2 linked regions of the Drosophila melanogaster genome follow. The protein of the gene in region 1 purifies or fractionates together with the protein of each later gene. This does not show direct contact. Each region holds a gene or a part of one and is shown on either strand. Other genes may lie near its edges.

What was found.
Region 2: the proteins of CG13284 (region 1) and CG3306 purify together in Drosophila melanogaster (affinity purification with mass spectrometry, with the first as the bait; one large-scale study listed by BioGRID). This does not show direct contact.

The regions. Positions count from the first base shown.
Region 1 is NT_033779.5:16,835,147-16,853,823, reverse strand, and holds CG13284 (uncharacterized protein), read left to right. Parts: upstream 1-6,626; 5' UTR 6,627-6,853; coding exon 6,854-7,073; intron 7,074-9,022; coding exon 9,023-9,145; intron 9,146-9,204; coding exon 9,205-9,315; intron 9,316-9,862; coding exon 9,863-10,311; intron 10,312-10,429; coding exon 10,430-10,546; 3' UTR 10,547-11,477; downstream 11,478-18,677. Other genes in the region: CG31809 (uncharacterized protein), read left to right, coding at 1-78; CG31810 (uncharacterized protein), read left to right, coding at 1,492-1,669, 3,544-3,666, 3,730-3,840, 3,984-4,429, 4,563-4,679; SclB (sarcolamban B), read right to left, coding at 13,439-13,528; SclA (sarcolamban A), read right to left, coding at 14,511-14,597; Nepl9 (Neprilysin-like 9), read left to right, coding at 16,606-18,564.
Region 2 is NT_037436.4:9,593,202-9,607,994, reverse strand, and holds CG3306 (uncharacterized protein), read right to left. Parts: upstream 6,473-14,793; 5' UTR 6,400-6,472; coding exon 5,533-6,399; 3' UTR 5,447-5,532; downstream 1-5,446. Other genes in the region: CG3088 (uncharacterized protein), read left to right, coding at 6,690-7,448; CG3222 (uncharacterized protein), read right to left, coding at 7,783-8,922; Tmc (transmembrane channel-like), read right to left, coding at 1-115, 180-335, 482-574, 636-732, 796-890, 1,492-1,602, 1,849-1,979, 2,058-2,246 and 6 more; CG42673 (uncharacterized protein), read right to left, coding at 14,216-14,793.

The sequences.
Region 1 (18,677 bases):
TACTTTGTATACCAACTCTTTAAGCGAATGAGAATCGAGGCCATGGAGCACAGACTGAAAAACCAAAAACTTTCTTAGGTTCCTAGCAGCCATGTAAATATTTGGCAAAATAAATACCTTAGAGTTTACGCAGTTTGTAACAGTGGAAATAATATTTTAAATTTTTGAGAATATGTTATGATGAAAATAAAATATATTACACTTATTGACGGGTTCATGTATTGGTTGCTATTGGTTCGTGGCTACAGAAGACGTAGCATAATAAAACTCGATTTAGCTTAAAAACGGCTAATACAACAAAACTATTTACTATTTAGAACGTTTGAGAAAAGCTTGTGGACTTCCTCTTTGAACTTTTCCCGTCAGTCTGAAATAAATATTCGGCTTGGCAGGAGGTTACTAATAGCCCTTCCACTCATACAATATCGATTTATATTTATAGCGTTTGAAAACTCGTACTGTTTTGTTCGCTGACAGCATGTAAGTTCAAAAATCGTTTCCAAATAAATGTTATGTTTTTGTTGTGTCACACTGTTTTTTTGCTTGCTTGTAGGGAAATGCTTTTTGCCATGCTGATAAGCGCAACTTATGGTGTTGTAAAAGATAGTGAAGGAAAATGCATTATACAGTTTTATTAAATAAAGGCAGAGCATGTAAAAACAACTTCATGCAATTATCTGTGAAAAATCTAGAAGCCATAAAATGTATTTGTTCTTGAAACAGATAAATTAAATAGATAACAACGTATTAGAGCTGTGTTGAATATGCAATTATCATTTATAAATTAAAAAATATGTAAGTAAAAAAAAATAAGTTTCATAGCAAGCTTGTCATATTTTAGCGCAGTAATTATTTTTCCAAAATCACTCCTAGAGTATTTAGCTAAATGCAAAAGGAAAAACAGGTAGAGGACTATCTGTACAAATAAACTGTCTCAATTGACAAAATTTGCTTCAAATCCCATTATAAAAAAATAAATAAAATTAAAATTTAAACATATACTTAGACAACAAAATATAGCACACCTTTTGGCGGGTTTTTGAGCCGACAACTGGTTTGAAGCTTCGCTAAAAAGTTTGCAATTTATATTACACTGTGTTGCAAAATTAGACTTTTATTGTACTATGGGAACAAAAAACATATAGACTTCGATGTACTTATGTACTTATTTCTATTCTATTACTATTCGATGTACTTATTACTATTCTATTCACATATGATTTTAAATAAATTTTTTTTTTTTAATTTAATAAAGAAAATAGTTAATTGTTAAAGAGACAGACTGCATTTTGTGGTAATAAGAGAAATAAATATCGCCTTCCAACTGCACTGGCCTTATCATTTAAAGCCAGTTTAGTCATGGCCGTGTACACAATCTCTTGAGTACGCTCTTATCACCCAGTCAAAAGTTCGCTTATTCGTTCCTATATAAAGAGAACTCTTTTCGGCACGCAGTCAGTTCTTAAAAGAAGAAATTATATTAAGTGAAACATGGCTCTTATTTTGCAAGTGATTTCTACAGGAATCTACATAGTGGGTTCTCTTAGCATCGTCGCTTATCTCTACGAAAACTTAAAGTCCTTGTTCAGCATTATCAAGTCTGTTGTGGAACCGTTCTTCAGGCCGAATTTGCCAAAGACTTTGGCGGAGAAATTCGGAAATTGGGCAGGTGAGTGTTTCGATCGCAAGGCCCATTATATCCATGAGTTTCGCTTTATTCACCGAATGTTTCCATGTTATTCAATCCGGTATTTGCATACTTTAACCCCAGGGGTCTGTCAATATTTGAGGCATGTGTTTTCGGTTGATTCACTGTCGCGAATGCAAATTGTTTACCTTATTTCTTAAGGAGTGTTTTTGCTATATCCAGGCAGCATCCAGCTTTTCTCAGAATTGAATGACAACAGCTATCTCAGGTCCCCATAATAGCTATATATCACGATTTGCCTGATAATTCTTTAAATGCCAATAATTTCAATATAAATTAGGCTTTAATGAGAGTATATTGACTTTCTTTACATGTTAGCATAATAAATTTGAGTAATAATAATTTGAGCATATATATTTTTTTATGATAAATTAAATTATCGATTTATACGTTAATTTCACCTCATGTACTACATTACCAAGTTTATGATCAAATTAATTGTTGAGCGATAGAATCTATAGTTACCGGGTTTGGGAAAAGCGGTTACAAAATCCATTTATGATAAGATAAGAAACCCGTTACAATTATGAATTTCCATTATTATTTATACCAACGAAATGAACAAAATTGTATTTCTTATCTGAGTGTTATTGAGCGTATTGCTGATGGTTATTTTTAGTTAAGCTTAGATATTAAATGAATTCACATATTTGTGAATCATAAAAAATAATATCAGACTATAAAAGATATTCTTGCTAAATTATCCAATACAATTTATGTTCAATTGTTAAGTTCAATATTATGAATTAAAAAAGGTTTAACTTATTCCACAAATCCCTAAATAAAATAAAATAAATATAATTTATTTTCAAATTGTCTGCTGATTCATTATAATTTGGCATCCAATAACTAAATTATTCAAACAACTTGATTTGTTTACAATTTCATTTATGGACCAGACAAAGTCATTCAACTCGTAAACCGGCTTGCGATTTTCTCGTTTGTTTCGCACATTGCGATCGCTTTGTTTTTGCTTTATTAACTAATTAATTCGCTTTCATTGACTAGAGTCTCGTGCTGCTCTTCGTGGTCAAACAGTTATAAATTTAACTATCGCTTCTTGAGTTTATTGCTTAATTAATGGGTGACCTTAGGTGTGAGATCGCTACAATTTACCAAATTGAATTATGGATTTTATACAACTGCTTTTATTGCTCACCAATCACAAAGTGCAAAATCTTTGCCAAACTATAGCAGTCATAATAGTTGAAAAATAAATAGAAAAATATTTTCTTATTATAAAATAAATTATAACTTATGGACTTTTTAGTCTTAAAAAGATTGGACAGTATTTTTGAAAATTTGTAATATGATAGTTGTTTAACCAACCAGTGAAGGAAATTTATTGCCTTAAATATATTTTTCGATAAGAAACCAATGTGCTAATCATTCTGACTTTCTGTTTAAACTACCGTTGTCAGCATGAACTTACTTATCTTTCGATATTTTCCGATTTCCAACTGATAACCGCGGTTGACGTCCACTTTGTGACGAGGCACACGATGAAAGTGTGACGGTACTAAAGAAAAGAACTAGAAAATGGATCAAAATTAATTACGGACTCGGCTTTTTGACCTTATTAGAACAGATTAAAAATATCTCAATCATTGTGACTCTAGATCACAATTTGAATTGTCAGCATGAGTAGTAGTTTTCATTAAATTTATCTATCGATTGGGGCTTTTCTGGTTTCCAATAGCGATAATATAGCACTATAAAATATTTAATCCGTTTCAGGTTGTGGAGATTTAAATATATTAATATATATATAATATATAAATCTATGTAATAAATCTAAAATCTAACAAAAACTAAATTTATTTATCTAATTTAAGTGGTGACCGGTGCGACCGATGGAATCGGAAAGGAATATGCCAGGGAGTTGGCTCGTCAGGGTCTTAACCTGGTGCTCGTTTCGCGGAAAGAGGAAAAGCTGATTGCAGTCACCAACGAGATTGGTAGGCAATGTTATTCAACTAAAAGATAAAAGTGTTTTATTCCATTTCGAAACGATTATTTAGGGAGCCAATATAATGTGAAAATCAAGTGGATTGTTGCGGACTTTGCAAAGGGACGCGAGGTGTACGCTCATATCGAAAAGGAACTGAATGGAATCGAAGTTGGAATTTTGGGTAAATATGTGAATTGGCATAGAAATACATGATTAATATATATAACAAATATACTGGTCATTAACATATAGTTTATAGTTTACTGCTTACGAAGATACGATTATTTGATTGTTAAAAAAATTAAATGCCTTTCATTTTAACAGTCAACAATGTGGGCACGATTCACGACCCGGAAAGCCTTGACAAGGTATCGGAGGACATGTTGTGGGACCTTCTCACCGTCAACGTGGGATCGGTTACCATGCTCACCCGCAAGATCCTGCCCCAGATGATTAGTCGTCGAAAGGGAGCAATTGTTAACCTCGGATCCTCCTCCGAACTCCAGCCCCATCCCAATTTGACTGCTTATGCGGCTACCAAGAAGTTCGTTACCCATTTTACTAAAGGTTTAGAATATGAGGTGGCCGAACACAATATCCATGTGCAGTTGGTTATGCCAGCCTTTGTGGCCACCAATATGAATTCCTATTCCGATAAAGTGAGGCAAGGAGGACTGCTTTTCCCCAACGCTTATTCCTATGCCCGGTCCGCAGTCTTTACACTGGGAAAGACGAGCGAGACCAACGGTTTCTGGGTTCATGGATTACAGGTGCGTAGTCTTACAGCTGTAATAAATCCAATTTAATATACTAAAAATAATAGTTCCCCAGATAATTTATCTAAGGGGTAAACTAACCATACGAGTAAATTCTATTTAATAAATGTACCTTCTTTAATTACAGTACGCCTTCATGAAGTTGGCTCCCATGGATATTCGTACTTACTTCGGATACCAACTCTTTAAACGAATGAGAATCGAGGCCATGGAGCACAGACTGAAAAACCAAAAACTTTCTTAGGTTCCTAGCAGCCATGTAAATATTTGGCAAAATAAATACCTTAGAGTTTACGGCAGTTTTTAACAGTGGAAATAATATTTTAAATTTTTGAGAATATGTTATGCTGAAAATAAAATATATTACACTTATTGACGGGTTCATGTATTGGTTGGTATTGGTTCGTGACTTTGCTAAGTCACAAATTTTCAAGTTTAAATATTGGCTTAATAAACTTTCTATTTTTGTGGGGTTTTATACCGTTAAAAACTTTCGATAATTTAGAACAAGTTGTAAGTAAAATAATTGCATGTGTTATTTAGGAATTGTGGGCACAGAAGACGTAGCATGATAAAACCCAATTTAGCTTAAAAACGGCTATTACGACAACACTATTTACTATTTAGAACGTTTGGGAAAAGCTTGTGGACTTCCTCTTTGAACTTTTCCCGTCAGTCTGAAATAAATATTCGGCTTGGCAGGAGGTTACTAATAGCCCTTCACTCATACAATATCGATTTATATTTATAGCGTTTGAAAACTCGTACTGTTTTGTTCGCTGACAGCATGTAAGTTCAAAAATCGTTTCCAAATAAATGCTTTTTTACTCGGATAGTGGAACCTTGCTTTAAATTAAGTAAAAGGGCTGTTTATTTATCTAATGAAAGTATTTCGGCATTTACAATTGAGCAACAAGTGGAAATTGAATTTTTTTGGGCGATGACCAGAATGACCTTTTCACTGACACACGTAATATTATGATATAGATGGCAATAAAAATTTGATTTAGCATGCCATAAAAAAAATGATTAGACTTTTGAATAAAACGCCATTAATCACAATTCAGAATTCTCATTAGTTTTTCACCCATTAGTGGTTTTTGGGACATTTCCTATTGTCATTTACCTGTAATACTATCATCATCCAAAGTTTACTTAATTGCTACATGCATTAGTTAGACATTTGCCCAAATTACCATCGATTACCATTATTTTGAATACTTTGCGAAAGAAGTCGCGTTTAATACTTTGTTGCAATGTTATTTTTTTTTTTTTTTTTGTTGTGTCACAAAAGTGCACTAATACGTTTTTTTTCTCGCTTGTAGGGAAATGCTTTTTGCCATGCTGATAAGCGCAACTTATGGTGTTGTAAAAGATAGTGAAGGAAAATGCATTATACAGTCTTATTAAATAAAGACAGAGCATGTAAAAACAACTTCATGCAATTATCTGTGAAAAATCCAGAAGCCATAAAATGTATTTGTTAGGGAAACAGATAAATTAAATACAATAGATAACAACGTTTTGGAGCTGTGTTGAATATGTAATTATCATGTATAAATTAAAAAATATGTAAGTAAAAGAAAGAGTAAGTTTCATAGTAAGCTTGTCATATTTTAATGCAGTAATTATTTTTCCAAAACTAAATCACTCCTAGAGTATTTAGCCACATGCAAAAGGAAAAACAGGTAGATGAATATCTGTACAAATAAACTGTCTCAGATGACAGGGGTCATTGCATGACAAAAGACAATTTAACGCATCTTTCGCCTAATTGTTTGCAATTAGTTCTACACCACTAGTAAGCCGATTATGCACTTAGCAAAAATTTCAAAACTACGACAACTGACCGACTGGCTAGTGAAAATACCGAGTAATTCGAGATGGTAAGAGGGTCATTTCTTTAGCGGCAATTAAGAGTCAAATAATTCACCCGGCACCCAGACACGTAGATTTTCAACACCTACAGGCCGCAGTAAAAGGCAACAAAATGAAGTTTACAATTTTATGAAATAATCAACCGACAAAGAGCTGAGTAAAAACCGCGGAAAAGAGCCCCAACTGCAGTGGCCTTTCCGCTTTAAGTCGCTGATATTCATTCATTTTACAACTGTTGCTTGTTGAAGACCAGATCCGAAACTGAAAATCCGAAACCGAAAGGCCGAAAAAGCGAAGTCGCGACTCCAAGTTTTCAGTGCGTGATCGGCGCTCAAACCTGCAACTTGTGCCCCCGGAAAAAAGTGGCAGACAGACAGCGCGATAGTGCGAGAGTCGGGCGATTATACGCATGTCGGTACAATAGTAATTCTCTACGGAGCAATAAATAATCAGCCCGGTCGTGTTAGTGATAAGAACAAGTTCCACAATATCAACCGAAAATCGGCCTATTTGGAGTATTTAAAGAGCACTCTCTTAACCATGCAGCCAGTTCTGGAAGTGAGCATTTACACCCTGCTGAAGATGGCGTTCATTTGGCAGCTGATCTCGGCGGCCATCTACCTCGTAGGACTGCTCACCATCGGTGTGTTTCTGTACGACAACCTGAAGTCATTGGTCAGCATAATCAAGGCCGTCCTGGAACCCTACTTCCAGCCCCACTTGCCAAGGACATTGGTGGATAAGTTCGGACAGTGGGCAGGTGAGTGTTTCGATCGCAAGGCCCATTATATCCATGAGTTTCGCTTTATTCACCGAATGTTTCCATGTTATTCAATCCCGTATTTGCATACTTTAACCTCAGGGGTCTGTCAATATTTAAGGTATGCGTTTTCGGTTGATTCACTGTCGCAAATGCAAATTGTTTACCTATTTTCTTAAGGAGTGTTTTTGCTATATGCAGGCAGCATATCCAGCTTTTCTCAGAATTGAATGACATCAGCTATCTCAGGTCCCCATAATAGTTATATATCACGATTTGCCTAATAATTCTATAAATTCGAATAATTTCACAAAATAAATTAGGCTTTAATGAGAGTATATTGACTTTCTTTACATGTTAGCCTTATAAATTTGAGCGTTGAAGCACATGAATTTTGTGTTCTAAATTAAATTATTGATTTATACGTTAATCATGTACTACATTACCAAGTTTATGATCAAATAAATCGTTGAGCGATAGAATCTAAAGTTATCAGGTTTGGGAAAAGCGGTTACAAAATCCATTTATGATAAGATAAGAAACCGGTTACAATTATGAATTTCCATTATTATTTATACCACCGAAATGAACAAAATTGTATTTCTTATCTGAGTGTTATTGAGCGTATTGCTGATGGTTATTTTTAGTTAAGCTTAGATATTAAATGAATTCACATATTTGTGAATCATAAAAAATAATATCAGACTATAAAAGATATTCTTGCTAAATTATCCAATACAATTTATGTTCAATTGTTAAGTTCAATATTATGAATTAAAAAAGGTTTAACTTATTCCACAAATCCCTAAATAAAATAAAATAAATATAATTTATTTTCAAATTGTCTGCTGATTCATTATAATTTGGCATCCAATAACTAAATTATTCAAACAACTTGATTTGTTTACAATTTCATTTATGGACCAGACAAAGTCATTCAACTCGTAAACCGGCTTGCGATTTTCTCGCTTGTTTCGCACATTGCGATCGCTTTGTTTTTGCTTTATTAACTAATTAATTCGATTCCATTGACTAGAGTCTCGTGCTGCTCTTCGTAGTCAAACAGTTATAAATTTAACTATCGCTTCTTGAGTTTATTGCTTAATTAATGGGTGACCTTAGGTGTGAGATCGTTACAATTTTCCAAATTGAATTATGGATTTTATACAACTGCTTTTATTGCCCACCAATCAAAGTGCAAAATCTTTGCCAAACTATAGCAGTCATAATTTTCGGGCAACACGCAAGCGCAACAATCGATTGCCAAGTTTTGCTGCCGTGTTTCACGTTTCCGTTGCACAAATATTTGGCAACCAATAAACCAGCTGCCTGTGGCAACATTGCAGCAATTGCCACTCTAGCCGGTTTGCTTCTAATCGCTTCTTTGCGGCCGATTCCATTCATGATATTTGCTGACGTTTCGACAACCAACAACCGATGTGGCGATGTGATTTAAAGAGGCTCAGCCGAATGCAGTGGGCTAATTAGCAGGCAAATGCTAGTTTCGAAAAGGTCTTTCAAGGAGGTCGTGGCATTATTCAGTTGCTAAAACTATAGGTACACAACAAAAAGTGACGAAATGGGTCTTGGAAAGTAAATAGTTTAGTTTAACATGGATTCAAGTCCTCATACTAAATTATTATACCATAATACCATAAAAATGCAGCTAGCTTTGGAAAGCCAAAACTTATAGACTCTAATAACTTTAATAATTAATAATTATATATTAAATATAAACCTAATCTACACTTACACAAATAATACTTAATACTCAATAACAACGAAACTACTATACATACATTTTCGTAACAAATTCTAAAGCTTGTTGTATAGTGTAGTCTTCAATATTTCGTGTTTTTTTGTCTGCATGCAAAATTGAAAAAATGTGGTTCCCTTTCGGCAACCTGTGCCTGTACTCATCACGTTTTCCTTCGATTCCTTTCACTTAGTGGTGACTGGAGCCACCGATGGCATTGGCAAGGAGTACGCCAGGGAGCTGGCTCGCCAGGGTATCAACCTGGTGCTCATCTCGCGGACGAAGGAGAAGCTCATTGCGGTTACCAATGAGATTGGTAAGTGTTGCTTAGTACTTGGTTTTATATATTTAGAACACGTTTTTTTTATTTCGCAGAGAGCCAGTACAAAGTGAAGACCAAGTGGATTGCAGCGGATTTCGCCAAGGGACGTGAGGTGTACGATCAGATCGAAAAGGAACTGGCGGGCATAGACGTTGGCATTTTGGGTAAATAATTATGATTCGATATTTATATTCAAATCAAACATTAACAACATTTGGCACTTACTACAGATATTAGCGTTTTTATTATACGATATTGTATCATTCACACATTCATCATTGTCAACAGCAGCAGCTGCTTACTTACGCTTTATATTTTGTGACTATTTTTCTTGCGCGGCTGCCAATGTCAAACAATGATAATTGCGTGCAATTATAATGACTCTTTTTTTTTTTGGTCTATTGGCGAGGCGAAGAGTGGCTTAGGCGATGTTCAAGTACGATGGCGAAGCGCTGTTGTTGGGGGTTTTACTTTTATTCGGCCAACGAGACTCATAAACGCTTCAGCAATTTACATTTCGACAACCTTGCGAACTTCTCAAGGCGGCATTAATAAAATGTTTGGCTGATAAGAGTTGACATTGGATCTTGGCCAGCGTAATTTAAAGCCACTGCCATTTGATATGAGCTGTTATAAATATGGTGTTGCCATTATTGCCTTGCTTGAACCGTTATGGTTGTAATACGAATTATTATTAATTTATTCATATAGTCAACAACGTGGGCATGATGTATGAGCACCCCGAGAGTCTGGACCTGGTCTCAGAGGATCTTCTTTGGAACCTTCTTACCGTCAACATGGGATCGGTTACCATGCTCACCCGCAAGATCCTGCCCCAGATGATTGGTCGCCGAAAGGGCGCCATTGTCAATCTGGGATCCTCCTCTGAGCTCCAGCCACTGCCCAACATGACCGTCTATGCTGCGAGCAAGAAGTTTGTCACCTACTTCTCCAAGGCCCTGGAACTGGAGGTGGCGGAGCACAATATCCACGTGCAGCTGGTGATGCCCAACTTTGTGGTGACCAAAATGAATGCCTACACCGATCGGGTAATGCAGGGAGGTCTGTTTTTCCCGAACGCATACACTTTTGCCCGGTCCGCCGTATTTACACTGGGAAAAACGAGCGAGACCAACGGTTTCTGGACCCATGGCATTCAGGTTAGTAATTTGGCGATTAGGGATTTTTTTCAAGATGCAATACCACTTAATTCCCTGATTTAAAGTTTCTTAACGCCTTAAAATCTTACCTTATTAATTAAAATCTTTTATTTTACAGTATGCCATTATGAAATTGGCTCCCCTGCCGATCCGCACATACTTGGGACACCAACTGTTCAAACGACTGAGAATCGAGGCCCTCGAGCAAAAGCAAAAGAAACTGAAGCTTACTTAGGTTGTTAAGCTAGGTTAGGAGTCATGTAAATATTTGGTTCTTAGTCATAAGGCTTAAACTATTAACTAGAAAAAAAAAAAAACACACAAAGCCATGAAAAAATACAAAATATAAAACAACAGATAAAACAAAAGATAAAAGGCACATTCGCAAAACCGGCTGGCTAAATCAATTCCCAAAATGCACTGCCGGATTGCATAAGAGCTGCAATTTGGCCAAGGAGTGGAGGGGGTTGGCTTTCGGACGGTTTTAGCCGTGAAACCGGTTGGCCAGCGCGCGAAACTACTGACCGACAAAATGGCAAAGTGGCCAACTGCAGTCGGAAGCCGCCAGAAGACCAGCGATGACTGGGTATCCGCATCATTGCTCGCACTTTTAGCTTGTATTATAGACTGTATAGCCGTTACTCGTAGAAAAAAAGGGTGTACTAGATTCGTTTTTTAACAGATAGTAGCAGTTGATCTAGTCATGTTCGTCTGCCCGTCCGTATAAACACTGTAAACTATAAAACCTTAAAAGTTAAGAACAACCATGTAGTGCCTTTGCTTCAGAGGATTGCCACGCCCACGGGCCACCCAAAACTGTGACGTCTACACTTATGAAAAGTGTTTTTTGTAATATTATTATTTGCATTGAAAATGTCTAAAGATATGCCCAAAACATTTCGAAACAAGTTCTCTAGCTGAGTAACAGGTATTTCAAAGTCGACTATACCGTTCATTTATGTTTTGTTTGTTTTTTTAACTTGTTGTCCAGTTGTTAAAGGCCTCAATTTGCACATGCATATGCCACATGCAAATAAAGATAAAGTACTTTTAAGATCTCTCGAAGAACTGCACACAAATACATGAATTTAAATTTTGAATGGAAACTTAGACTATGCAAGTTAAATTACACCTTTCTGTCGGCAGAAGTTTTAATTGGGTCCACTAAAATAAATTGAGTTTTCGTTGTTATTAGTTAATTATAAACTTGAAGAAAAATGTTCTTTAAATAAAACTCTTTAATCCGTTTCAAAACAATCAGTTACACAAAATAGTCTTGGAGAAATGTCATTGTATTTTTTAAAATTTTATAAATACCGTTTTCATATGTCTTTTTTAAACACTTACCTTCTGCTTTTTGGCTTAAATTCCAAAAATATTTGCGTACTTTGTAGTTTTTTATGAAAAAACACAGCAATACTTAAAATAGTATTTTTACCGATTTAAGTTTGGAACAAGCCTAAAAGTATGCCTGAAATAATAATAGTCCTCAAATCTACCCAAAAAGTCAATCTACATTTGTATGAACTTATGTAAAATACATAATTTAAATATCACTCAATTGATTTTTTTAATATTACACGTACCATCTAGTTTCAAACACAAAATAAAAAGGAAATAAATAGTTTGGTTTTTTGTGTTTTTATTCCTGCAGTTTGTTGTTGCTGTTCTTTGCGGTTGTTATTCACAAGTTATTTAAGAAAAGTCGAGTAAAATGCAGTTACACATTATGCATGTCTTAATATGTACGAGTGCGAAATAAACGTGGCTGTTTAACAATGAAATAATATCGGTGGTGCACATTGATTGCTGATGTTGTTCTTAATTTGCTTATACTGTACATCATGGTCTATGAATTGCAAACTAAGTAGATTCCATTGCCGAACAAAAATAATAAAAAAAGATCACAAAACTATATTTATGATTAGAGCAGATGACGCCAAGGCCGGCAGCACAGTTTTCAAAATAAATCGATCCTGCAGCGCCTCAAAGATGAATGAAATGTGGCAGAGCACTGGGAAAAAAAACAAACGTATAAATATGTATATTGAAGCGCATCCCAGGGGATCCGAATAAATGGTACTTACCACATGGCAGGGGTTACCCATCAAAGTGCTCATCCTGATCGCCGAGCCTTCGATTTTGGCAACTGGTGGCATTGACGTCATCTGCAATATGCATTAGATGAGAATTTATTTGAGAAATTTATTTAATAGCACTGTTCGATTTATTGATTGCAAAAGAAGAATCATTTTTGTCTGACGCAAAGTCGCTGCAATTGATAAAACGTATTATTTTCGTTTTTTTTTTTGTTGGTTCTAGTGGCCACATTGGCATAAACAATAGCTGGCATTTGTTTGTTTCGAAGAACATAAGCTTCTTAGAGATTTATTTTAGGTTCTTTGAAATAACTTATGGAGGGATTGCGAAAAAGCAGCATCGGATTTTTTTTTTTTGAAAATAGCAATCTATACTCGAATATTTATTAGCAGCGCTTGTGATATTCAAAAACATTTAATGAAAATTAATTATAATTTCCACCTTAGCCAATCATAAATTCAGGCCATAAAAAACTGTCGCTTTGAACATTTTTGTGATTTTTCGGGCGAAAATAATCTTGAATCACAAAGTTGCGACATTTGGAAAATGCCATATGAAAATGATTTTTAATGCTCCCAAATGACGGGGGGCTGTGACGACAGGAAGGTGTTTAGTGGGCCATGTCGAAATCTTGTCGTTAAAAAATAGAAACGGAAAATCTATTTATTAACGCGAGCGAGCCAAATGGCTGCCAAAAAATGTATTCAAGGTTTATGTTTTTTTTTTCTTCTTGGGTAGGGAGTGTTGAGGGAGTGTTTCGTTAATTTGTTTGATGTGTGTGTTTGATAATTGATTTAATTGGCAGGGGGTGGATGGGGTGGTGTTCGTGCTCACCTGGCTTAGGTTACTAGTAGAAATCCATTAAATGCTAAACATCTTAAACGCGTAGGGTCCTAGAAGCTCCACCGGACCACAAGATGATGGCATGGCCGGCGGCTTGGAATTGAAATTCAACATGTAAGCTATCCTGATGGGTGGTTGGTGGGTGGTGGTTGGTGATGGTCATGGGTGACTTGAGGCTGTGGGCCTAGAAGGCGGCTTCGTAGAAGGCATAGAGCAGGAACAGCAGGAAGGCCAGGATGAGGAAGGTGGTGAACAAACTTTTTGCCTCATTCATTTTGATTGATTCGATTTGGCTGCTGGCTAAAGGGATAATACGGAATTAGGTATGCGATTGATCGATCGACAGGCGCAAATCACACACTTGTGGGATTGGGTTTTCTTAATTGCTTGGAGGATTTCCAACCGTTCGTAGCTAAAGGCGCGCAATAACTGAATTTCCCGATCTGAATTCTACTTCTCCACAAAAAGTTGGCCAGCGCTTGGAATTATGGCCATTGCCTGGGCGCACGCACCCATCCACATACATATGTTGATCCGATTAGATAGACGATATATAAAAAATTCATTTATATTTATATATGTATACCGTGTATATCACCGGCTATTTGGTTGTATGTGAGTCCAGTTGTTGGTAATATTTTTGACGCGGCACAAATATTTTCTAGATCTGTATATCTACATATGTGTGTACGAGTATGTAGATCGGTCTGCATATTAGAAATATATATATATGATTTCGAATTCCATGCGATTCTAGCCAACTTTCTGTGTTCTTTGAACATTATTCATCTGCTGGACTGCACCTAGACAAATTGCTTATTCCGACTGGACCTTGTCATTTGAAAAATGTTTTGTTTATTTCTTTTTTGGTTTTTTCGTTGGGAAAGATGTTTTCCTCTCCAGTCGTGTGTTTGATTAACATATTTATTTACTTTAGGCTGAAAACGTGTACATCTAGCCAAGCCTTAAAACGTTTTTAAATATTGAAAGAATCTTGAATAATCACGTAGTCCTCATTGAGTTTATGGCACATTTTGGCCTCAATTACCATTTCAAGGTTCGTGATTGATGCGGATTTATCTCGATTAAATTCAATGGGTACCCCATTTACCCAATCGAAATTGTGTGCATTGAAACAAATTTTACTTTTACTACGATTTTAGATTTAGATTTTTCCCATATTATTGTATTTATAAGCTAAATCTTTATCTTACCTTTGGTCCTGCCCTAAGGACCATCTACTTGCCGGAAACATTTTACAATACGGCATAGATGAGGTAGAGGAAGAAAAGCAGGATGGCCAGGATGCCAAAGGTGGTGAACAAGTTGCGGGCTTCGCTCATCTTGATTGAATTTGCTGCAAATAAAATATTTATTTATTATTCGGTTAGAACGGAAAGATTTAAATAGTTTTCCCTATTTTCGAATTACTTATATACGAAATATTTTTTATTTGGCGCGTGAGAAGTTTATCTTCATATAAACATAAAAAAGGCGGCAATAAATTTTCGCGGAACACATATTGTTTTGTTTTAAAATAATCTAATCAAATAAAATTCAATGGTATAAGTAAAAAAAAATTTTATATAAAGTCGACAGATATCAAAGCCATATGGAAAATATTAAATTTTTCTTTGCTTTCGTCGTCGTCTGGCTATATCTATTTGATATTTCTGTGCTCTTTGATTTTCTGATAGAGCAGTCAAAGAACCGCATGTCTATATAGATTGAAATAATTCCAGTTTTATAGATTGGACCAGTTCCAAACGAAAAAAAAAAATGGAAAAGATCTCTGGTGTGGAAATATTTATGAACACGGCACACTTGAATTCGAATTGTTAACTCCCACAATTTTTTATCATTCGTCTGGGGTCTTCAGGTCACTTCACTTCTCTACCGGATTTACCTTGGTTTTTTTGTTCGCTGGGGAAAGACACAATTTTGTGCTATTAACTGGTGAAAGCCTTTGGCTCAACTAAAACCGTTGGCCCGTCCACGAATTGGGATATAGATGAAATACTTAGTGTTCTGCAAGCATCCATACACACGCAGTTTGAGCATATCTGACAAATGGATATAGATTGGTGGGCGTGTATTTGTGCTTTTGGATATATGTATGTACATATAGCGAAATATTTTGTCCCATTGGCCAAAATGAGACGCCACTACCAGAGCAGAAAGTGCAGACTTTTTGGAAAGTCGCGTAGAAATAACATCGAAAATAAATAAAATAAATTTGCTGCGCGCCTTTTGACAGTTTTTGAGCAGCCGTTGGCCGGATCTGAAGCCAAATTACCAACAATAACAATACGCTCATTAAAAATAATTTTGGCATCTAGTATATGGCTTGTTCCATTTTGCAAAACATTTGCCTCGAAATTATTGACAGCATTTTGGAATTTCCGCAAGTGCAAAGGAACTCAAAACATGAGGTTCGAATTGGGCATGGGATCTACAAGTTTTTTCGCTTGATTTCGAAATAGCACGGGATGTTTATGTTGTTAATATATATTTTCTTTCAAATATATGAATAGAATTCAACTTAATCCTTTCTACGTAATACCTTCTTAGCGAAATCACAAAGAGTTTTCTTCAACGCCACACCTCCTTTACTTCTCCAATCATATCGTCTGTTGACATATAAATACCAGCCAAAATGTTCATAAACAACTGTCACACATTTCGGGTCCTTGACTTTTCTAAAAAAAAACACACACTTTCCCTAAGCTGACACTTGTCATTAAGTCAATTTGAAAATGCAATGCGCAAATGGCATAAAAACAAAATGGCTTGACACAAGAATATATATAAATAATGACCAAGATAATTATAAAAAAATCAATGAATTTTTATTCCTCTGCATAGCACATTCATGAAATCAAAAGAAACAATAAAAATCGACCTGATAGAATCAGGTTTGTTGCTTGAGCTATTGCAGCTGTGGCCACATTGCGTATGCGCGATATTTTTTAAGCACTAATGGGTAATTTTTGGGATAAGTTTTTCAAATATTTTTCCAAGCACACTACACTCATATGGGTTTTTATTTAAAATTCATATACTTTAACTTGTTAAATCCGTTTTTACATGCATGTATAAAGCTTAATCATTATGACATAACTTCATTAATAGGCGATGTAGGGCAAAACGGAATGCAAAGATCTTTAAGTTCAAGGCGAGTTCCAATAAAGAGCGCAAAGAGAACTGGGAACTTTGATAGAATCGAGAATATATAGCTTAATCCACTGCTTCCGTGGCTTATCAAGTCATTAGGGAGGAATTCCGAGCACAATTTTGCGCAGTTTTTGTGGAACAAAACAAACGAGCGGATCACAATAAAATATAAACTAAATGCGCTGGAAGCTTCAGTTTGTTTTATTCGCTATAATTCAAATAGTGAGGTCCCAGAATGGAGAAGATTCGGATTCAGATACGGAAGTGGAAATGGATTCCGAGGTAGAATCGGGCCAGTTTTTTAGCCATTTGTACAAGAGCAACTTGCAACAGTTGGTGAAAATTAAGAATGACTCAATGGATCCGTGTGATGACTTCTATGCACATGCTTGTGGAAACTTCGATCAAACGAAGGAGGAAAATTCCGATGATTTTCTTCCACCCTATCTGTATAACAAACAGGACAGAATGAACTTCTTCACAGCTGAGGTTGGAAATTTTGAAACTATACCAGGACGATTGATTTCTCAACTTTATACGGAATGCCGAAAGAGGGAAGAACGAAATGTTTTCACCCCTACTCGATTGACTTCTCACTGGGAACGTATGCTCGATGAGATCCCATTCCTGGCCAGGCATAAAGAGGTGCTCTCTTCCTGGCCTTTCCTTAAACATCAATGGGAGCGAAGGCGCCTTTATGGGCAGCTGAATTGGATAGTTCTGTCAGCACAACTGGCAGCCCATGGCCTACCCACTTTACTTCATATCTACTTTGCCTTGGATACGATTTATGTGAGTCCCATGGAGGAGCTGCCCTGTCCTAGTATCGCGGACTTTCAATCTAGCCTGTCTGATGTCTTGGAAGGTAGACATCATCAAGTATCCCGTATAATATCACATGAGATGAGGGTTCTGTGTCGCGAAATGAGAGGAGAACTTCCGCTCGTAAGAAGTTTGAGCCAGAATACCAGAACCAACACCTCCAGACCAGGTGAAGAACAGCTTCTTCTGGATGAAAACACCATGGATTATTTTCAGCAGTATTTTGCCGCACTTAACTTCTCCGAGGAACGGCTGGTGGGAGCACGCAAGTTTCCTCTCGATGTCGAGAAGATCACTCAAGCCTGGGAAGTTCTCAGACATACGGAAACTCGCATAGTGTACAACTATGTGATGTGGCAGGCCAGGGAGCAGCTTCGATATCCGGACTGCTATAGGGTATCTGAGGAATTCGAGAGACTACTGCACGCTGAATACTGGCAATGGCATGTTTTGAGACGCCATCTGAGCAGGGAAGTCGCTCTGGCATCATATCAACTTCATACCACTCGCTTCCAAAAACTAAGGAGATCCAAGTTGTCCAGAAGAGATTGGTATGGGCACCTGTGGCCAGCTTCTGTGGAGAAGAAGGAGCTTCAGGTGGCACGCATCCTCCAAAATCATGCAGAAAACTATCTGAATATAACTGAACTAAATGAAAACTACGAAGGATTGAAATTGGAAAAGAACTCCTTTTATGCAAATCTTCTGATCCTTAGACGGGCTCAACTGCGCCATAGTTTCGTATCGCCTTATGTGGACGAGGAAGATGTAAATCAGCCAGCATATTTCTTGAGGCACTTCCTTCACTTTGTACTGCTTTCCTTGCACCGCCCTACTTATCACTATTATGCCACACACGGCTTGGAACTTTGGAGGGAGTCCCGACTTCTCTTGGATACCGATGGCCACTATACCGCCATGGATTGCCTAGAACGGCAATCATTCCAACACTACGATGCAAAATTGGCTCCAATTTACAGACCACTTGGTTCGCACGAGATCGCCGAGATCTTCCAGTTTTATCGCTCTTTTCAGTATTCCCTCACGGACTATCACTTTTGGCTTCAGGGTGAAAGGTTCGCCTTTGCCGAGACCTTTGTGCTGGACTACTTCGGATTGAATCCACACAGGGTACTCTTCTATGCGGTGGCCCAGCAGTTATGTAACCGCCAAACGGAGATATTTGCTGCCCAATTGAATAGGGGCTATATGAATCTTCCCGAGTTCCAGGAGGCTTTCAAGTGCGGAGCCGAAAAGGCCATGAATCCCCCATCCAGATGCATGATCAACATGTGTGAAAGGCCACATACTTGATGTTTTCAACTTTAAAATTTTAATTTAAAATCATTTTAATGAAGATATGTTAGAGATAAAAAATAAAATGTATTGTTATATTTACCTAGTCATTGGAAATATACTTGTTATCA
Region 2 (14,793 bases), on another chromosome or scaffold:
GGTGTTTGTTTCGTTCTCCAATTTCAACATCTGTAGCGGTTTCTCCTTGCTGTTGATCTTGTAGATGAAGGAGAACATCAGCGAGTACAAGTTTAACATGTTCAGGATCATAATGCTGCAAAGTGAGGGCGCTTCAGTTATATACAATTATTTATCATTAGCACTGGTTTTTTTATTACCGAGCCAATTGCAAACGCAGCTGCTGCCTGGGATGCCAGTTCTCGAACAGACCCAGTGCCTCGAATATCATGGGCAGGAAGAAGGAGAGCAGGGTCATGGTCACGTTCACCGCATTGCGACTCAGCCAGTTGTCATGCTTGGCCAAATCCTCAGAGCTGTAAATAAAAAGAATTACAGAAGAAAGCAATTTTGAAATAATTCATATAAATGTTTAATTTCTCATTTAAATAAATATTTATCAACGAATTTAAATCAGTATTTTTCGGTGCATATTTCATCGCCATTTCCCCAATCCACTTACTGATTAACCAGCAGCACGACCGTAGCGCCCGACAAGCCCAGCAGCCCCATCACCAGTATATTGACCAGTATCCTCTGGAGTATGACCCGCCAGCTGAAAGGACATGGCGTATCGATTATGGTAAGTAAATAGCTTCAGTTTGGCAGCGACTTACTTGCGATTATCCTTCTTTTTCTCCGCTTCCTCCAGCAGTGCCTCCTTGAAGCCCACGACCACGGATGCGATGCGATTGTGCGCCGTTTCCGCGTGTCCTGTGGGAGATGCAAAACTTGTGATGATGGCAGCTCGTTGCGGAACCAACGCCGGCCACTTACCAATCATAAAGTCCCAGCCGGTGAAGAGCTTCCACGAGAAGACGCACTCGTCGTCCTTCGAGGAAAGTTTTGAGTTGCGCGAGTTTTCCGCCATTCTGTCGATGGATCAAAAGTGGAAATTCAGTCATAATTTGTTCTGAAATACCCGCAATTCCCACAATTTGAATCCCGTATAGCATTGCGATTGAATTAATCCACGCACGTTGAGCACGTGACCCGCAAAAGTGGCTATATGGAAAGGCCAGTGCCGGCTGCTCACTGTTGACATTGCTGCTTTGTTCAATTACGAAATCAACATAATGCCGACAAAGCCATTAAAGCGTGTCAGACGCCCAATGCTCAAAATGGCGTTTTGCCGTTTCCGTTTCCTGTCCCGCCCCTCACTGCCAGCCCCCTTCGAGGCACGTGCTCTGTTGTGTGCGTGCGTAAATCATAATGGCCAATGCTTTCTCCTTTGATTATTTTGAGGCGTCGAAACTTTTTCAGACCCCCAGACACGCCTCGTGGCCAAGATTTGTATTATTTAATCAGAGCTTTAGTTTTGTTTAATTAATTAACGAGCAGTCTGACATTTAGTTTACTTTTTGCGGCTTCGATGACCAAGTATTTAATGAAGTGCCTACCCAACACACTGGGAACCATATCCATACCCATGACCCCTTGACCCCTATTTCTTTGTGCTCCCACCATACTCACTTCCTCAACGTGGCCACAAAGCTGTAGATGTAGACCAGAACGGCGGTAAGGAAATAGGCTAAGGGAAGCTTATATCCGGACGTGCTAATGCCGGATGTGCTTGAATAGTATCTGGGGGATAGGAAAACAAGAGGAGGGATGATATTGGGATATTGCCAGCAATTAATAGAGCTCTCATAACTAATTTATAATTAAGATGAACAAATAAATATTTACATAAGAACATAATTTTCTTCCAAAGTTATGTTATGTTAAAAAGGCAAATGAATTAAAGGAATTATTATTGATTTATTTTTAAACAGACTGACTTGAAAGGGAAGCTTAGCCCTTGTCCAACAAAAAACCAGTCTGGCTTACCCATAAAACATAGGTGAATATTTCAGGTATCCCTCGAACTCCCAGAACGTGAAAAGATTGCCGGCCACCCGAGCCTCCGGGTCGGACATCCTTTTCCTGGGATCCGTTTCGCCGTGCTTTGTGGCAAAGTACTGGAACAAAGCCAAGCGGAAACATAATTGTGTGTAAAGTGTGTGGCAAACGAATTGGCTACTTCTGAGGACACTCACCTCGGGGCCAATGACGAAGGCGACCAGCGGAATGGCAATCATGATATTGACCCACATAAGCCATCGCAGGAATGTAAAGTAGGAGGCTACGCCGGAGCCGAAGTGTGATTCGATTTCCTTGATGCGCAGCTCCCAGGGAATGAGGACGGTAAGGAAGCTGGCCGTCTCACGTTTCCAGTGTCGCCATCGCTGCAGAAAATGTCGGATGCAAGAAAGGATTTATTTCTAGAAAGGAATGGCAGTCGGCAAGTTCGCATTTTAATTGGTCTCCCAGCACAGCGAGAATGCCATGGGGCTCACATAGCTCGGTGAACTATGCGAACAGTGGGGATTTATTGAATGTCCGTCCCGACCGGAAAGTGGCCCATAAATTGTGTAAACATTAATATTTTTTTGCATGGCTTGGGGGCCTTTCGCCTTGTGCTCGTTGCATTTCGCATTCTGCAGGCGTTTCCTCCAAAAAAAAAAAAAATAATAATAAAGAAGGGGGTTACAAAATCACTTACTGCCGCCATTAAAATTTTAAACCTCGCCCACAAGTCTCTGGTGCTGCGTGACATGGCGAAGCGCTCCTGGAGCGCGCCCTCGTGGCGTGCCACATATGTTTTGGCCTGTCAACACATACAAGGAGCCGCAGGATCCGCAAAGTCCAAACATCATTAAAAATTCCAGGGTGTAGCGAAAGATGGGAGATAAAGAATGAAATCGAAAAGTTTGGCTCAGCATTTGATGAGTGTTCGGTGAGGTTTGCAAGGAAGGAAGGATAGGCGGTCGTAACATTTTCAACGACCTGACAAGCGGCGTGAAAACGAACGCGCCCAGTTTTTGGGCAAATCCCCCATTCAATTCCACTCCCATCTGAAAACCATGGATACCCACCTGCCGCACCAACTTGAGCTTCTTGCGGATGGGCCATGGCTGTAGCTTCACCGACTGTATGACCTCCTTGTGCAGGCGGATGTTCTCAAAGATTTGCTCTTGCGTTGACTCCTGATTGGTGCCCTCCTCTGCAAAGTAAAACGAAAGTCAAAGCAAGGCAAACAGATTACACATACGCCCCGTATGCCACGCCATCAAAACGGTCCGCACGTAGCATGAAAAATTACAGAAAACAGGCCCCCAGACGTTGATTAGCTTGCCACTTGAGGATGACCGAGAAGGACCGGGGAGCAGTCCGCTCGTTAACTAAACGAAATCTGCTCTGGACACTTATGGGCCACGGACCACAGACTTGCCTGAACTTGTCGTATAGACACTGGAGCGTCGTCGCTCCACACTGTCCAGAACGTGATCCATGGGACTGGATGCACGTCGCGAACTCCGGCTGCCGCGTTTGCCCCGATAGCCGCGCACACTGGCACGTCTCTGCATTATTGCCGATACGGAAATTGTGTAGCTCTCCTCATCGTCAATGTCGCCACCGCCGCCATCCTCGTCGAATCCGATTCCAGGCGAACGCTGGTGGGCAAAGTGAGGCTCCTGGTGGCAACTCTCGGCGTCGCTGCTCTGGTTTTGCAATGGGAAATCTGGAGTGGCAGTGGTGTTTGGTCATTAGTTGGTTACTTTATATTAAACACAGACAGAAAAGATTACTCTGCATTAAAACTGCTAACCAAAATGTTTAAATGCTTTTATTTAGATAACAAAATTTAATGCAAAATATTAAAAAAAAAAATTGTTGGTAATTTATAGAATCAATAATGCTAGAAACAAATAAAGATATTTAACTTATTAAATATTAAATGTTTAAATAAAATACCTAAACAAGCGTATATAACAACTAATAAAAAACTATAGTTTGGTTTGCTAGCTATTATATATATTTAACCAGATATACGTTACGCACCGTTCAGTTCGTAGGATCTGTGGTCCTCCTGTGACGCAGCTCTTTAAAGGAAGTTAATAGAAACGCAGAGACCGAGATAGTGATGGTCCAAGGTATCCCTTTAAAGGACTCACCTCCTGCCTCGCTGTCCTTTGTAGAATTCCCTCTTGGCATCGGCGCTGCTCTGCATTTGCCAGCCACCTCTATCCAAGTCGCATGGCGGTGCCCAGGTCACAGAGAGTTGATGAGGCGATGTGACTCCCGAGTTGTTCTACGAATGGATGGGCAGCAGCTTAACTCAACTAATTTTCAAGTGCTGTTCCGGGACAGCTAATTACTCAAATCACACTGGTACTCTTTGCGTGCGGAATGACCTTCGCTGTTAAGTGCTTATTTATTAATTTCACTGCTGTGCAATTTATGTGTTACATCTCTTCTAGTGCCCTCAAAGAAAATCCCTTTAATGGACAAGCTAGCACTTTTTGCTCCCGATTTAGCCAGTTATAAGCCGAAGCGCTTTGGAGCAGCCTTGTGCGCAGACTGAACGGCTTAGCTGGCTGGCAGGGCTACCAAGGCACAAAATGACCATCATCCAAAGGGACGGCGACCACGAAGGCACCTCACACAGACAGGTGAAACTTAAATTTTTCTAATAATGAATGAATATGAATGAAGAACGAACCACCAACACCCCCCGCCCCGCCCCGCACGATGGGCAACTTATCAAAGCCAAAACGTGCCCAAAACCCACACAAGCGCACACACTCTAAAGGAATTTACATGGACATGCGGCAGGACATTGCGACTAGGTGGCTGAAGGGGATCGGGAGTCCGGGTCCGAGTGGCTGACTTCCTCGCCCTGTTGGAACGAAGACGAATGAGTGTAAAAATTGCCAACGGCATGTGATAACAACGCCGTATCCGGGCGTAACCAGCCAGGACTTCGAATGTCCATTTAGATGGCGCTTGTGTGTATGTGATATTGAGTCACCTTGTATTCTTGGCCCGGCCATGTAAATGAAAATCAAACATGCAAGGGTTGATAAAGAAAATCGCGAAATTCTAGGTTTTTCCCGGACTTTATCCTCTTGCCTGTTTCCCCCATTTTCCGGTGTGTGTGTGTTAGCTTGTGTGCTTTTCTGGGGGAGCGCCCACTATTGAAATATATGTTTTGGCGCTCTCCACTGTGTTCTCTGTGTTTTGCCTTTCACTTTCTCTGATTTCACTTTCGTTCCTTTTAATTAAATGGATTTCTCGGCCGGCTTTAATTAACATCAAATTTATCTTTACGCCCCCGTGCACGTGTAGCAATAATGTTCGGCGATTATGGGTTCATTACCCGCTGTGCCGGTGGCCTAGGCCTAAATGTTTACAATTTTCCAGGTTTAAGGTAACATTTGAGCCAAAGGTTCAATGCCGCCATGGACCCGATGACCTAGTAAAAAAGAAAAAGAAAAGGAAAGCACACACCTTTAGGCCTAAGTGGATTTCCATGTTCGCCTGCAGTTTTCGCGACTTGGCCATAAATCTAGAGCTCCTAACATGGAGGCGTTGGTCACAGAATGTGGGTCAACCAACGATTTACAATATATTAATTTAAGGCCACATCGAAAAGTAGAAGCGAAAGTAACAAAAAATTCAAAGGATCAATCAGTTGATGCGACACACGCTGCTCTCGCTCTTCGCTCTTGTCCAATTGCCATGGAACTCCTCATGACGCAAACCCATGGCCTGAGCCTCCGACGTCGTGGAATCCGTAGTGCTGGCCAGATGGAGACGCTCCGAAGCGAAGCTATCCAAGCTGGTGGAGTGCTTACAAGGATGGATTTTGGTCATGAACTCCCTTTGGCTGCAGCCTGCATTCTCCTGATTGTTCCGGATGATCTCACGGGCAAAACGGGCCAATAACTTCTGTTTGTGGTGACGCTTGCTGAGTGGTCCATGGGCACAGTTCTCTCGGATCCAGCGACGAGCCTCCCGACATCCTAGATATATACTCTGGTTGCTAAACGTCTTTGTATCCAACATGAAGCCACGATTGCCCAGCAGTCCGAAGCCCAGATCGAAAATATTGCGACCCAGGTTGAGCGGATTTGGTCCGTCCTTGGACTGGAACTTATTCGGACCGACGGCATCCATAGGCTCCTTGGTTTCCTGGTAGAATCGGCGATCCTCCGGCGTGCAATACGTCCAGGGTTTGAAACTCATCGTGTAATGATCCTTCATCTCAAAGTCGACGGGCAGACTATCATTGAAGTTAACCTGATCGATCGAGACCAGTCTGCCATTGTGATGGGTTACTTGATAGGTAACGCCCAAGGAATCAGGAATTTGTATGGTGCCTTTTCCGTGGAAACGATTGTTGAGAAACTCTCCCGTGTAGCATGTCCCATCCGGATAAATGTAGACACCCATCTCCTGCATGCCCAACTCATCACTGGGACCAACGTATCTGGATCCAGTCAACAGAATATCAACCTGGGTAATGCTTGAAGATTTTGTTGTCTTCTGCTCCATGATTTTTAGAAAGCTTATTTACACTGTATACCAAAAATAACAATTTTAAAGTTGAGTAAATGTTCGTTGAAATGGGTGTTCAAATAATTTACTATATATTATTTGAGATAACAAGTTTTGCCGAACTAATATGATGCCACTAATGGCAATTTACTTAAATAATTATAACTTAAATGAGTAACGCCCCTCAAGATAATCAAAGAAATTTCACTAATGTTCGCTAATTACCCAGTGAATATCTATATAAACTCGTCAGTTTAACTAGGCAGTAACAACCTTCGCTTGAAATCATGAAGCTATTGGTAGTTTTCTTGGGTCTCACTCTCGTCGCAGCAGGAAGTGCTAAGAAGGATTCCGAGGATCCTGATCACATTATAACCAATGGAAGCCCCGCTTATGAAGGTCAGGCACCCTATGTGGTGGGCATGGCCTTTGGACAGAGCAACATCTGGTGCAGTGGCACTATTATAGGCGACACCTGGATCCTTACATCCGCTCAGTGTCTAACGGGCAGTTCCGGAGTGACCATCTACTTTGGAGCCACCCGGCTGAGTCAGGCCCAGTTTACGGTGACAGTGGGAACTAGTGAGTACGTTACGGGTAATCAACATCTCGCCCTGGTTCGAGTTCCTCGAGTCGGATTCAGCAACCGGGTCAACCGGGTGGCCCTTCCATCACTGAGAAATCGATCCCAGCGCTACGAGAACTGGTGGGCAAATGTCTGTGGATGGGGAGTGACCACCTTCAGCAATGGACTCACCGATGCGCTGCAATGCGTCGACCTTCAGATAATGTCCAATAACGAGTGTATCGCCTTCTACGGATCCACCACCGTCTCCGATCAGATCCTGTGCACCCGTACGCCCAGCGGCAGATCCACTTGCTTTGGCGATGCCGGCAGCCCCCTGATCACCAAACAGGATTCCACCGTGGTGGGCATTTCCGCATTTGTGGCCTCCAACGGGTGCACCTTGGGATTGCCCGCTGGATTTGCTAGGATCACCAGCGCACTGGATTGGATCCATCAAAGGACTGGAATCGCCTACTAATGGGTCAAATAGTAGCAACATTTAATAAAAAATGTCCAATACCTGCATAGATATTTTATTGCTTATAAGGTCTTTTCTACTTTAAAAAAAAATTGGCTAATATACAGCAAAGTCCGGTGGGTTGTACTGAATACTAATGCAAAATATACTTAAAATGAATATGATCCTACTGACCATTAAACTATTAACAAATACTACGAGTATTCTAAGAAACTTTAAAAACGTTGAATTTTATTTTTCAGATTACAAAGTAATTGCATTCATTTTCTCTCCGAGCTCTTAAGCTTAAATTTTAAATTGAAAAAAACATATATAAAGACATTGATCGGCGGATCTACAACTCGAATATGGACCGGGTCATGTCCATGTAGCTATTGCGGCGTATTAGATTAGATTGCACCACATTTATGTTATCCGCCGTCCGTTTCCTCATCATGTTGTTGGCCGAGCGGTATGATTCCTCAAAGTTTAGGACCAGTTCATCCTCGCCAAAGCTGTCCGTCTGGCAGCTGGAGGGTCCACCCGACTGCGGATTGCGTACATCTGAGGTGCTCGACCATCGGCGTGGTCTCTTCACCGTCTCCATTTTGGCGCAAGGATGCACGCGCTTGAACTCCATTTGATCCTTCTGCTGTTTATCCAACATCCCAGCATAGGCACGCACACACATCTCCGTCTCCCAGGCGGGATCGTCGACGGGCATGGGACGCCTTGGAATGTTCTCCAGCGGCTCATTCGGCTGTCCACGTTTTTTGGTCAACTTGTGGAAGTATCGCTCCCGATCCACTTGTCCATTGGGTGCATATATGGCCGTGCTTCGCAACTGTGCTCGTTCCGTTGCCAAATTGTTGGCTATAATGCGGCGACAGAAGTCGGATGGTGGCTCAATTATACGCGATGTTCTCGCCTTCCTGCAATTCTTCTTAATCCAATCCTTATCTTGCGGGCAGCTCACGTACATGAATTGATGGAGCGGACTCGGACGGTCCGTCAACCAGCAGGTCTTACTATTGAACAGACCCTCCTCCACATCATAGCAATGTTCGGGAATATTTCTGGGTTGCATTTTCGATGTAAGAAAGGCAGTGGGGCCAACCGGCTGTTGGCCATAACGACGCTCGGCATGATAACGCCGATCCTTGGGCGTCAGGTAATCCCATTCATCGCACTGCAAGACCATGCCATTAAATCTGCCATCCACATGCAGACCGTCGGAAAACCACATGTCCTCCACTGTCACCAGGCGACCATGCTCGAACTCACCCTTAACCGTAAAGCGGTACGGCTGGGCGAGTCGCAAATGGCCATAGCCATGGAACTGACCCTGATGGAACCTTCCTCGATACTCGCTCCCATCCGGATAGCGGTAGCTTCCAAATCCGTCCATCACATTCACCAATCTATCCCAGGCGCCCTCATAACTGCTGCGCGTGATGAAGTGCCTCTGCTGGGTCTCCGCGTTCAGCTGCGACATTTTCTCAACTTTTTTTGTTTCTCTGTGTTTGGGGTGTGGGGACGAATTTTGTGTGTGTAGTCGAAGCAACCAAACCAACTCGAACGTGCGAACTGACAAACTTCTGACCCACTTGGAATGGCCTGGCTTGTTGAGATTACGCATCAGCTTTATGACTAAATAAATGTTTGCCCCACTCGACCGATCCCATCCCCAATTTCCCGCTTCCTCCACTGACCGAGCCCCGAGTCCAGGGTGTGCCCATCCGCATCCACTCGGTTTTGGCCAATGTCGCATGTCTGGCCTAATGAACACTGGGATACCCTTGTGTGGCAATGTGAAGTTGGCTGTGCTATTTGCTGTGCTACCTGCTGCCTAAGTAGCCAAGTGATTTAACTTGTTTATTAACTACCATAAAGTAGAGACCTCCGGTGATCTGAGATTTTGCATGCATATGTAGAGTGAGTTTGCCAAATTATACTAATGAGCTTTAAAGTTAGACCAGGAAAACCACACATGATATGCGTTCAGTTCATTAGCAATGTTTACAACTTAGAGGAGATAAGAGTCGAGGCTTGGTTAAGCAAAAGAGAGACAGTACTTAAATTATGCAAATGTACAGAATTTTTAATGCAGTTAAATTGAAAATTCATTTTTAAGAGCCTCAAAACCAATGCTCGAAAAATTCTAAGTTCTAAGTTTTACTAAGCCTGTCAAGCGAAACTTCTGCATTGACCTAAGAATAGCTCCACCTGTCCACCGATGGTTGTAAAACAAAATGATTTTAACAGCCAACCGGGTCGAGCTGCATTGCTTAACCCGGCCAGAAGCGAAAGCCAGTTAAGTGCGATTGGTGTTTATGGCTATTGGCTGTGGCAGCGGCACTTGCTGTTCCCACCTATCCTCCTGGTCCGCTCTCGGATATAGCCATTCCGTAGACCGTGTCGTCGTTGTTGGTCAGGCCAAATCGTAAGCACTCCCGAATGGGCCGTAAATCATGCTCACTTACCTCACTGTTGGCGCCAGTGGCCACGTTGCTGGTGTTCCCATTGCTGCTGCTGCTGCCCACGCATCGGAAATCGACGGAACCACCTGATGAGCGTCGCGGTTTGCCGATGTCCAGTCGCAGGATACCTGGCTTGGGTCGTCGTGGAGCCGGGGCCGGTGGACTCCGCAAGGATTCTCCATTGCTTAGCCCCGAAGTTCCGGCTGCAGCTGCTGGTTCCTCGTCGTTCTGCATGGCCAAAAAGGAGCGCACACTCACGTTGCGAATCGCGATTATTCACCGCGCACACACGACCGCCGTGCAGCGCCAACGCGGACTGACTACATCCGTGTCCTGGCCAGGACTTTGAAGCAACAATTACGCGCGCAGCCACGGGCGCTGGAAATAAAATGTGAATTAAACGCGCCACCCACGCGATAAGTGACAATGAATGTGCCATGTGAGTGTGCGGTGTCCGTTTCTCTGACTCCAGCGAGTCCAGCGAGTCCTGCTAGTTTGGCCACAGGATGACGATGACGTTGGACAGGACACGCGGCACTTTCAACTGCTTCTCCTGGCTGTCACATGACACAAAGTGAACTTCCTGCTTTCAGGGTCACATCGCGGCCTACCTCTGTGTAATTATGTCTGCCGCTGCCCCAAAAAGTGTCAACAGCTCGGCCCCGAAAACACAAAATATCGCATGTCGCATTCGCCATGTGAGCGGGGAAAAAAAGGCCATTTTTCATTTTGACTTATACTTTCACTTTTCATTTTCATACATTTTTGCGCCTTCCATTAGTGCGCTGCGTTGTGTCCTTAGTGTCCTTAATTATGAGCGCACAAAAGGTGCCTTCACTTTGTTTTCTAATTGTGTTACTCCGTAATTGGTAGGATGAGTCTTTTTCCTACTCAATAAAAAGTTTAATTGCTATTTTATTTATACATTTATTATTTTTAATCTTGATATTATCTTAAGCTTCATCAATTCCCAGCAATGAATGACTTGACATTACCAACGACTGTTCTCTTCGAAGTACAACTAACCATAAATACCTACGAAAGCTGGGAATATATGTTTATCCCAGTGGGGGGTATTGCCAAGTCGAGCCCATGCTAGTTTGCGTAGATGATATCTCCTCCGCGCCCCGGCCACTTGGCCAGAATGCGCTTGTTAGTCGGCACAGCCGTTCCATACGAGCCAAGCCCTCCTGCTGCGAACTGGGCTCCTCCGGCGCCATGTCCTGGCACATCCTTGTCTGCTGGCCCCGCTGATATGCAATGCCTTTCTATTACATGCAAAGCGCGTTAAATTAATTGAACTGTAAAGTGTCAGCAGCAGCGGCGGCATTGGAAGTGGCAGGACCTGAATAAGGACATGTTGCCCAGCATGTTGCATTTAATTTTTATTATTTTCACTTTATTCTATTGCGTTGAACCAGAGCAACTTATATTTATTCAACTTGGTTAAAGGCTAGGCTAAAGTAGCTTATAAAAACTTTTCCTATTTGTCGCAATTGTTTGCGAAATGCATGAATGGATGTACGAGTATGTGTGATGTGTGAAGTGTTCGTGTGTTTCTGTGTCCTGTTTTTATGCTTAGTACAAATTTCAGTTTCAGTCTCAAAAATCGTTTTGCATAAATTAACTAAAACCATTTTACGTAAATTAATTTGTGTTTTTGTTCTGACATTTATAAATTTCGTACCTAAATTGCGAAAATGTCATAAAACCGTTAGGAAAATCGAGTTTTCATTGTAATGCCGCGCAATAAACGAAAGAGCTACCAAATAATGCAATAAAAACTCGACCGAGTTTGATGATGATTGAAAACCATTTGGCCGGCTTTAGCTTCACTCAAATTTAAATTGCAGAATTTCGTTCACCCCCATGATTGTCAGTGTTTCGCAGATATCTCTGCATATTCAACTATCCCTAACTGGCTATACTATCCCTAACTTAACCCATCAAGGGTGAAGTGCAATCAGTACAACACCTTTGCAGCTACCCACCTAAGTAGTATGTGTCTAGCTACCCTACGAACCCCGCTTTTTATAGCCAACAAATCCTCATAAATTTTGAGTAAATTGCTTATACGCCGCGTATGCCGCAAGTTCGGTTTGCATTTTCCCTCAGCAGCTGACTTAAATTTATAGAGTTACCCAAATAAAAAACGGGAAAAAAACGGGCAAGGAAGGGACTGCCAAGCGTAAAAGTAGAATCGATTTATGCATAAAAACGGTGGAGCTGGCTGAAATTTATGAATATCAAACATTTGATCTTTTTGGTACGGGGTGCACCGGAAAAGCTCCTTCCTGCGCATTCTGTTTTTCCCCGTTTTCACCGCCTTTTCTGTTGAATCTGCTGCTGTGGTACTGGCCCTTGTTTGCTTAGCTTAATAACCAGTTTTTCTCGTACACGAAAAGTTGGTCAAGTTAATGCTCTTTTGGCTTTTGGCAGTAGGTGTGTATGGTTGGCTACGTGACGTATGATTAATGTGCGTGGCTTGTTCGCCTAATGAATTGGCCACAAGATTCTCACCGTGTTTCCTTACTGGCCCAAATACTTCTATTCAGTTAATACTTAAATACACATTGAGCTTACGTTTTATGCTCACTAATTGACTTATGTCCTATGCCTGTTGCATGGCATCTCAATGAGCATGTCGTTCCGTTACGTTCCGTTTTGTTTCGTTTCGCTTCGTTTGGGTTAATTTGGTCCTTTAGTCTATTGGTTTTCATACTAGCTAGCTATGCCTATGCAGAAATTTATCAAAGCTACACTTAGGGCTATGCTAAAAACTCACTTAACAGCTAATAAACGCACACATTACGTGAATCCGAGGACGATGATGTGAACAAGGACCTCCTCAGAACGTTGTCACTTTGCCCAGCCGCATGCCGAGCAATTTACGACGCTTTTTGGCGCTCAGCTTTGTCCAAATGGTGCTGCTGCCCTCCACCAGCAGGAACTCATCGCATAAATCATCCGTCTCCTTTGCGATGCCGCCGTAGAAATGATCCTCCTGATACTTCTCCGAACGCGAATCGCCGGAAACGAAGCCGCTCTCCGGACGGGACAAGGATGCGGTGTGCCAGGGTAGTTGTTGGAACCATCGGGCCACTTTCGCCGTTGAGGATAGCTGCGGGAAATGGGAAATGGAAAATCGGTGGGTGTGGTAGCGTTAAGCGTGGTGGGGCAAATACGTTAAAGTCAGTGTGTAAATTTATGCAAATGAGTTATGTGCGCAAATTGCTGCCCACCAGCGAAATCCGTAGGCAACTGGGAAAGAGAAAAAAACTCGGAAGAAACTCAACGAATGCCAACTGCCGAGTGTAGAGTGAAAAATGGCGACACTTGTTTTTGCTTCTGTTCCTTGGGCCACGGCATCGTTTTTCATTTATCCAGGGAGGGAAATTCATACACTGACCGTCCCACGGGGCGGATGCTTAATGCGCTTAAAAGTGTGCTGCATGTTTTTGTGTCGGAAAAGTCATTAGGGAAATTGCCCAGTCTGGCGTTAACTTTCAATTATTAACGACAGTATATAGAGTATGAATATACATATAAACGACTGGAAACAAGTGCCAAGGGTTTTTACATAATTATGCGATTTTTATTATTATTTCTGGTTGTTTGCCGTTCATTTTTGCCGCCTATATTCCATATTCAAATGAATATTTGAAATTGTAATTTACACATAACTTTTCAGCCTGGCAACTAATTAATGCATTCCCCATGATTATTGCATTTTTGCGAATAAAGATTATGCGGGTCACGCATGAATTGAATTAAAATACAACAATTTACAAAAATAACAGTATCGAATTTAATCAGTTTAGACTAGACTCATTAGCTTAATCACTAGGTGTATAGATATAGTTTTTCATTTAGGGGAGAGAAAATACTTTCAAACGATTATTGCGAACTTGAGTAAGTTTCTTCGTTGCTGATATGCTAAGATTATGTTTCACAAATACTTTTACTTAAGGTTTATCGCTGCTGGCCCGGAAGCTAACCAAACTTTCGAGTATTATAAACTTTCGACTTTGGCACAGTTTTGAGCTAGAAGATATTGCTAAATAGATATACATTACATAGATATATTACACTTAAACGGACGTTGAGCTGGGCAAATAATTGGCACACTAAACGCCAGCGATGCGTTCTGCTAGGACACCTAAAATGCAAAACTAAAGTAGGCTTCCATTTCTCCTAAATTAATACTGTTGCACCCACTCATTCACTCGTTCCTCATGCACGCCCACTTCCACTTTTCGTATCCTTTAACCTATGACCTGGTCCACTGGGCGTTTCGAAGCCCTGCTCCTATTTGGTGGTGTGCCTGGCCCAGGTGGTCCTCTGCACCTGGCTCATCATCTGGCTGCGATTGGGCACCTTCTCGCTGGTGCTGCGTGTGATGAAACTGGGCGTGGCCGATAGCTTTCTTTGGTGACCCGCCTCATCGGTGACCCTCAGCAAAACCGTATTGAATCGCGTTTCCCGACTGCTGCTACTATTGCTATTGCTATTATTGTTGTGGTTCTGGTTGCCATTGCTGCTTCCAGGACTAATGTTGTTATTGCTGCTCCTCAAACGTGGCGAGGATGGGGAGTCCAGGGTGGAGGAGCTACGACTGGTATCCCGCGTGCTGGTCGATCCTCCACAGGCCAGTCCAGCCAGATTGCCATTGGACACCGCCGCCTTGAGTTGCTCCTCCAGATTATTCAGATTCTGCTCGATGCTCAGGCGTATATCCTCGTTCAAGGACGAACTCCCGGCAAAGGAATTCCGATTCATGGTGCCCAACGGTGAGGGGGTCAGTGTTCCCGTGGCTGCCGGTGAGGTTAGGAAATTGAAACCTCCGGCTCCGCCAGCATTGTTGTTTGGCGTGGCCGGTGTGCAGG